Linked DNA regions of Nothobranchius furzeri. Each later gene encodes a partner of the first gene's protein in a complex. Links are inferred from orthologs where the notes say so. Each region holds a gene or a part of one and is shown on either strand. Other genes may lie near its edges.

The links.
Region 2: immt (region 1) and micos13 share a complex: the UniProt entries of both Homo sapiens proteins name them as parts of the mitochondrial contact site and cristae organizing system (MICOS) complex. The link is inferred for Nothobranchius furzeri from reciprocal best matches to the Homo sapiens genes IMMT and MICOS13.

Annotation. Positions count from the first base shown.
Region 1 is NC_091741.1:108,909,462-108,913,415, reverse strand, and holds the start of immt (MICOS complex subunit MIC60), read right to left. Parts: upstream 2,801-3,954; 5' UTR 2,667-2,800; coding exon 2,625-2,666; intron 2,302-2,624; coding exon 2,234-2,301; intron 2,159-2,233; coding exon 1,969-2,158; intron 1,493-1,968; coding exon 1,348-1,492; intron 1-1,347. Other genes in the region: slbp (histone RNA hairpin-binding protein), read right to left, coding at 3,851-3,922. UniProt on the Homo sapiens protein: Component of the MICOS complex, a large protein complex of the mitochondrial inner membrane that plays crucial roles in the maintenance of crista junctions, inner membrane architecture, and formation of contact sites to the outer membrane.
Region 2 is NC_091748.1:50,418,328-50,421,646, forward strand, and holds micos13 (MICOS complex subunit MIC13), read right to left. Parts: upstream 2,044-3,319; 5' UTR 1,913-2,043; coding exon 1,884-1,912; intron 1,511-1,883; coding exon 1,354-1,510; intron 1,178-1,353; coding exon 1,120-1,177; intron 919-1,119; coding exon 821-918; 3' UTR 501-820; downstream 1-500. Other genes in the region: hsd11b1la (hydroxysteroid 11-beta-dehydrogenase 1-like protein), read left to right, coding at 2,328-2,481. UniProt on the Homo sapiens protein: Component of the MICOS complex, a large protein complex of the mitochondrial inner membrane that plays crucial roles in the maintenance of crista junctions, inner membrane architecture, and formation of contact sites to the outer membrane.

The DNA.
Region 1 (3,954 bases):
CTGGAATCAACTCCCTCTAGCAGTGAGAATGGCCCCCTCTCTCTCCGATTTAAAATCACGCCTGAAGACTCATTTTTATTCCGTGGCTTTTACTTCAGCCGAGTTAGCATTGTACCATGTCTCTGTTTTATTTTTATTGATTTTATAGTAGTCACTGTACTACTTTTATTACTTTCTTCCCGTGTGTGGATTTTTATGCTCTTTTACTGTGCAGCACTGTGGTTGGCCTCGGCCGTGTGGGAATCTGCTTCATAAATAAAATGGAAGTTCCAAATAAACACGATGGTCGTGAAACTAAGAACATCTAAACTCTACCAGCGGAAGAAAAGTCCCCGCCATCCTGTTTATTGTTAGCTTTCTGCAGCACCAGGGAGCAGAACCTCTGGTTGCTGCTTTGAGTCTGCTCCGCTGCGGGGTTATGGCAAGCCACCGTAGCATGTAATTCACAAACGCATCTATCCGTGAACGCAATTTAAACTGGATTAGTGCCAACCCGTACATGTGTCACCATTACATGTTAGCAGTAGAAAGTAAATGTTATTAGCGTTTCCAGTAGCTAGCTACTGAAAATGCTAATTAAATTTTAACTAAGGATACATTTAGGTGACAGCGTGTTGTTTTGAACGCCACTGAGCTGTTATCTAATCAAGTTCCATTGTTAAATGTTCCCGTTTAATCTGATTAATCGAATCGATGACCCAAATAATCGTTTGTTGCAACCCTACACCGCGCTCTTTTGCCCCGCCCACATGCTCAGAGATAACCTCCTGACATCACAGGTCACTGACCGCCCATGTGCCCCCCCCCCGCTGTCTCACACATGTTCTGCACTACTCTTCTCTACCATTTCTGTCCTCGTCTCCGGCTCATCCACCGTCTGACCCTGGAACCAACCCTGCTGTCTGTTCCCGTCACCAACGAGTCCTTTAGGGTCTGCACCGCTCTCTAAACTCTTTCATCATCTAAATCATCTAGCTCATATCCTACCTGTGGATCAGAATCACTAACAATGAGGATTATTATTCCAACAAGCATCAGGCTCCTCAGACTACCTGACACTCGTCACTTCCAGAATGATCCCAACACCAGCTATTCTGACCACTTGTGAACAAGCAGCATCTTTTAGGCAGCGTAGTTTTAAATCTACAAGGTAATTCATGAAGTCCAACCAGCCTGTTGTCGTGTTTTAACGTCGCCATAATCAAATCTCGTATGCGTTTATTCACTCCGCTTGGCCCAAACGCAACACCAAATGAAGCTCATTGCGCTCCACAGCTGGCTCTCCTTCAGCGGCTAATCTGTGGTAGCTTCTGCAGGAGCGGCTGAGAAACGGTGAGAACCTCCTACCCTGTATGCTCTGAGCTGGCGGTGGTGGGACCAGACTGGACTCTGGGCCACTTGCCTCTGCTGCCTCCTTCACACTCTTCTGGGACTTGGCTTTGGGATCCGTTTTTGGTTTATCCAACATGGAGGGTGGCTGGTTCAACTCCACCTGAACAGAAACCATTAGAGATAATAAAAAAAATAATGTTATTGTTCCTAACTACTGAGCCACAACACGTCGAAACAACTTAGCAGCGTAGTCTAATCCAGCTCCTACAAGATCATCCCTGAGCCCCAAGTCCATCGACACGCTCAAATGGTTTACTTAAATCCAAACTTCCTCTGCTGGGAGACGAAAGTGAATTTTGTCACGGTACAGCTGCCACGTCATGTGACCATGAGATGATCTTCCATTTTCATCACAATCCCTAGTTTGTGGCAGCAGCTCAGGGAACACCTAAACCGCGCCTTCTGGTGGCGGCACGCCAGACAGCGAAGACAAAATCAGCACAAATGATGAGAGCCGTCGCTCTAAACAACAAGCCCCGCCCCCTTCTTTAGCTCAGGTGGACTTCACAGGAAAACCTTAACAGGTGACAGGAACTGGACTTTGCGTGTGAACAGGTGTTCACCTCCGCTCCTCACCTGTTTCCTCACAGGGAGACGGGCATCCTCAGGAGCTGGTCCCAGAGCCAGGCCCAGCAGCCAATCAGAGTACGGGACATTCTTCTCCACAGCTGCTCTGAACTTGGGGTCCCATTTGGAGTAGAGCAGTGTCCCTCCCACGCCTCCGCCTACCGTCACCAAGCCGAGAGCAACCACTCTGGAGGCGCCGCTGTGATGGGGAGGGGCAGACGGTTAGGTTTTTACCTGTGAGGTGTGTCCTTACCTCACCTGAGGGGTCAGTTACCTGCTCCTGCTGGTGGAGTAGCACCTGTAGGACTGCAGCGGAGTCAGAGGACTTCTCACACAGTTCTTCTGAAACACACAATGTCCCAGGTACAGTGAAGGCAGCATCTACGGTTGTGACGTCACCTCCAACTAAACTCACCTGTAAACATCAAATCTCTGAACACACAGGTCACCTGAGAGGTGCTCGTTAGGGTTCGGACCCTAATCCTTACCGGTACCGGAGGGAATGTAAACAAAGCCTAACCGCGGGCTAACCAGAGACGCCAAACTGGACCGGATGTCCTGGCACAAAACTGGTTCTGTTCAACCCTGAGAACCGTGGAACCTTGAGCTGGGTCACCGGATGACCCCACCATGCTAGCTGCTAACAGGACGGGTTCGGCTCTTACCCGGACCGTGGCGTGGGCTCCTCGCAGGCACACTCCAAGCATGGTCCTCGCTTCAACGGTCCGAGTCCAAAGCGGGTTCGGCGGTGGCACCACGACAACTTTCCTTCACACAGTCGCTCAGCGGACACAAACCAGAACCGGACCGGAACCTCCTCCCGCTGCCAGGCTTCACTTCCGGGTGGAAAAGCAACCCGTCTTCAGCGCCACCTGCTGGTGGGGAGTATGGCTCCATCCACGCGGACGTTCTCTCCTCTTTACCTGTCGGTCCTCGGGTGGTCTTCCTCCTGGCAGTAGATGGTGAAGGTCCACACTGTGGTCCGGCCCGCATCGCACCCGATTAGAGTAAAAACAGGTCCAACTGCCACCGGTCCCGTCCATCAGCTTCTAGTCATCACTTGCTGACTTCTCATTCTCACTCGACTCCCGCCATCAGGCACGGCTCGGCTGTGGAGGTCTCCGTAGGAGCAGAACCTTCTCTAGCTCTCCGTTCAACTATTCCCAGGAGGGGAATGCCGGGTCACAATTTCTGATCCAGTTTTCACACGTTCCCCTCCACTCCTTGATCGATTCCGTGGTCTTCAGAGAGCAAATGAAGTTTCATTGATGTTCTCCACCTGGTCCATCGTGAGCTCCTTCACCAAACACACTGGTTCCAGCATGTTTCCTAGTGCCGACACGTACACAAGAACAAACTCGTCCCGTACTCACTTCCACCTGAATGCCTCCCAAGTACTTTATTCCATAAAAACTCGGACCTTCTCAAGGATTTCAGGCACCAGTCAGAACCAGTAACGAGGTTGTTCTTTTTATTTTCATGTCTTCATCAAAAGCAAACAAACAAACAGTTGTAATAAGGACATATTAAAATTACACGTAGTTCATAACAGCAAACGTAAAACTGTCCGGCTCAACAGTCAAATCAGAGCTCTACAAAATATTCTACAAGCCGTCCGCCGTCGCTCCTCCTTAAATAACTCCTGGACTCAGGTCGATGCGACGTCTCCCCACCGGGACACAAACAGACGAGGACAACAGGGGCTCATCCCAGCAGTCTCCTGACGGGTCAAAGCTGGAATTATAAACCTGGTGGTGGAGTGATCTCCCTGAGCAGATGTCCAAGTTAAAAGTGTCCTTTTTACGGACTAAAAACAAATATTTGAACCCAAACGACTCCAGAACACACTTCCTAGATGCAGGTGGAGTTCAGCAGGAACCCCAACCATGAGCTACACCATGTCAGGCCCCCCTGGGCTCTCTGTCCTCTGGACTTTAACTGGGGTCCCCAGGTAGTCTTGATCCTGAACAACACAGAACAAGCAGATTCAGAACC
Region 2 (3,319 bases), on another chromosome or scaffold:
AAAATCTGAGTCTCTTGTGAACAAATCATTAAGACACCTATAATTAAGAACTAAATGTATTTTCACAATCTGATGAGCTAACAAATTTGTAGTAAGTTGTCTTACAAAAAGCTCTTTTTCCAGTTGATGCTAAATGTGTGTTGACCTCACAATCTTTTAATTTATTGCATCTTTGAGAAAACATTTTGTTTATGTTATTTTATCACCTTAACAGTGCCTGAAGGTTTTGAAAATGTTTGATGTGCTAGAAACAATTCTGTACATGCATTCAAAACAAAGGTTAACACTGAGCGTCATTGCTAGTTGTGCTTTTGTCAAAAATACTTCATGCTTCCATTTTCGCTCCTTGTTCCAAAATTGTAGCAGACTGACTGCCCATGTCATAATATTCTGTTGTAATAAACATTTTTGCACATTAGTTTGGTTCTTCACTTTGAACACAGCTATAATCAGCACACTGTAAATTAAGTTTAACTAAATAAACCAAACAAGCCTGAGAATGTTTTCAGAATGATTTTATTGCAAATAGTGAGATTGCACGCATACATACATACACACACACAGCAGAAATTAACTTTTTTTTACATTATTTTGGACAGTTTGACATCTGGGTGGTATCCAACTCTACTGGACAACTGAAATAAACCAAAGTTCTGCTTTATGTACAGTATCCTTCCAACAACTCTCAACAAAACAGCCGAGATCTCTTTTGCAGCTGAATTTAAATAAGCTGTTTTGTTCAGGAAAGGGGACGACTTAAGGATTTACAAGTGCAAAAGTCAAGTGAATAGATAAATGAGGTTACTCAGAAAGTTCTTGTTCATTTGATGAGGTCTTTTGCGTACTGCACTCCCTGACTTGCGTATTCAGATGCTTTAGTTGGAGCCTCTGAGAGGCTTGAAATTGTCCACCGCACCCCTGTGATAGAAGAAATAACTGTTGTTAAAGAATACTTGATTCCAAATGAAATGATCACTGAAACTGGATAATATTCTAAGGTTTTTGTTGGTAAATTCACTTTATTAAAGAAAAAGTCCTGCTGTACCTGAGCCATTGCAATATTGCAATTAACCCTCTGAGGGACTAATAAAGGTATTCTTATTCTTACTAGGTTCTTACCAGAATTCCATGCTTCAACAGGGGAAATTTCAATTTTAGGTATGGCTGGAACCTGAGCCTAGGAACAGAGGAAAGAAGAAAAAAATGATGTACACAATTAAACATAAGGCTTAATTTCACATATGATGCATCGCCCACAAAGTCTTGTGCAGAGGCTGTAGCTGGAATTCAGTTTCTACAGTTTAAACATGTCAAAATGTGTGTGATCGCCTAAAAGTGTAATTTCATCTCTACCTCCAGACCAAAATACTTCATCCATTCCTCGATGGCGGGTGGTATAGCAGCTCTGGCCTTCTCCAGAGCCTCTGAGCCCTGTTCGCTGGTTCCCAGCAGACCCGAGTCACAGGCGACGTAAACAGCGCCTCCTGCAATGGTCACCTTGGTGGCCAGTCTGCAAATGAAAGATCAGCCACACCGTAAGCCAAAACCACCCAGCCACGTAACATTTACCACACTCAAAAGCACCACCTTAAAATTAAAACATTGCTTATTAAGTAATAAAGCAGGGAGATCTTAAATTCTGCGTTGATCAAGCAATATCAGCAACTCAACAAAACATTCATGAAAAATCGCATATGAAGCAATATTTGATTGGATCCTCGGCGACAATTTAGTTAGTAAAGTATCGGAAAATAACAGCTTGAAATCTCAATACAGTAAACGGATAAATGCCGTAGCATGCTAGCTCACAAGCTAATCAAGCATTCAGGTCACTTACCACTAAAACTTAAACGAAACTTAACAGTGAATTAAAATATACGAACTTGAGTAAAGGCAAAATCCTTGCCGCCATGGTCCACAGCTGTGTAACTTCTCTTTATAAGCTGTTTTTACCAAGACTCCAAACAGCGAATCTAACTTCACCGCTAGGCTGCACCATCGACATAGGGCTGCACTGAAGGACATTGCAGCGTTAGCTCTGTTTTTGTCAATAAAGTTGTTTTTTGAAACCCCAACGCTTTTTTCTCAGCGGCAGATTCGTTCTTTTCTATCCCACTTTATTCCTTTTGTAAAATTGTATGTAAGCAAAATGAAAATAAAAATGGTGTGCAGGTTAAATATAAATGTTCTTTTTAAGTTACTATAAGAAATGTTACATATTTAAATATGTTATAATTTGATCTCGGGAGAAGCGCAAAATAGAGAGAGTGAGTGAGTGAGTGAGAGAGAGAGGGGGGATGTTACATAAATGGCACCTCCTTCACATCATGAAAGTGAAGGCAGACTTTTATAACACAGCTAGGAAGTTTTCTGAGACTTATAGCGAGTTTACACACATGGGACCATTTGCAAAAATCCTGATAGGGAGCATTTCTGTAGCTTATTTTGCTGTCAAATGGACTGCGCCAAGTTTTGATCCAGGTAAATTTAAGAATAATTGTAAAAACGTCATTTGGTGTGGATTTTAAAACCAGTAATGTTTGGTGTGGGTTTTTTTTTGGGGGGGGGGGGGGGGGGGCATTTTTTAACCAACTTCAGAGTGCAGTAATGTCTTTTTTAATGCATGTTATGTGTTCACAAGAACTGTAAACATTTTCTACATAGGTAATTAGTTTCTCCTAATGTTAACCTAAAGTGAGGTTACAGAAACTAGGAATATTTAACACAATATAAGGATTAAAATATCTTGTTTGGAACTTTTTTGGACAATTACGGTTTAATTCTGTTTGGACAAGCAAATATGTTCTTGTCTGACCATCTGGAGGGATACATTAAACATCTAAATGTATTTCTCCTATTACCTAACCTATTGTATATCCAAATGAATATATTATTTAGACTACAAAATCTAGTCTTGAACCCTCCCACAGTGCACAGGGTACATTAAGCCCCAGGAAGACTGGTGGATGGGATTCAAATACATCCATACATCAATTTTCAACCGCTTATCCGTGGTCGGATCGCGGGGGAACCAGCCTAAGCCGAGAGGCCCAGACTTCCCTCTTCCCAGCTACTTGGGCCAGCTGCTCCAGGGGAATCCCAAGGTGTTCCTTGGCCAGCCAAGAGACATAGTCCTTCCAATGTGTCCTGGGTATTCCCTTTAGATCTCCTCCCAGTTGGACGTGACTGGAAAATCTCACCAGGGAGGCATCCAGGAGGCATTCTGACCAGATGCCAAGCCACCTCAACTGGCTCCTCTCGATGTGGAGGAGCAGTGGGTCTACTCCAAGCCCCTCCCGGATAACCGAGCTTCTAACCT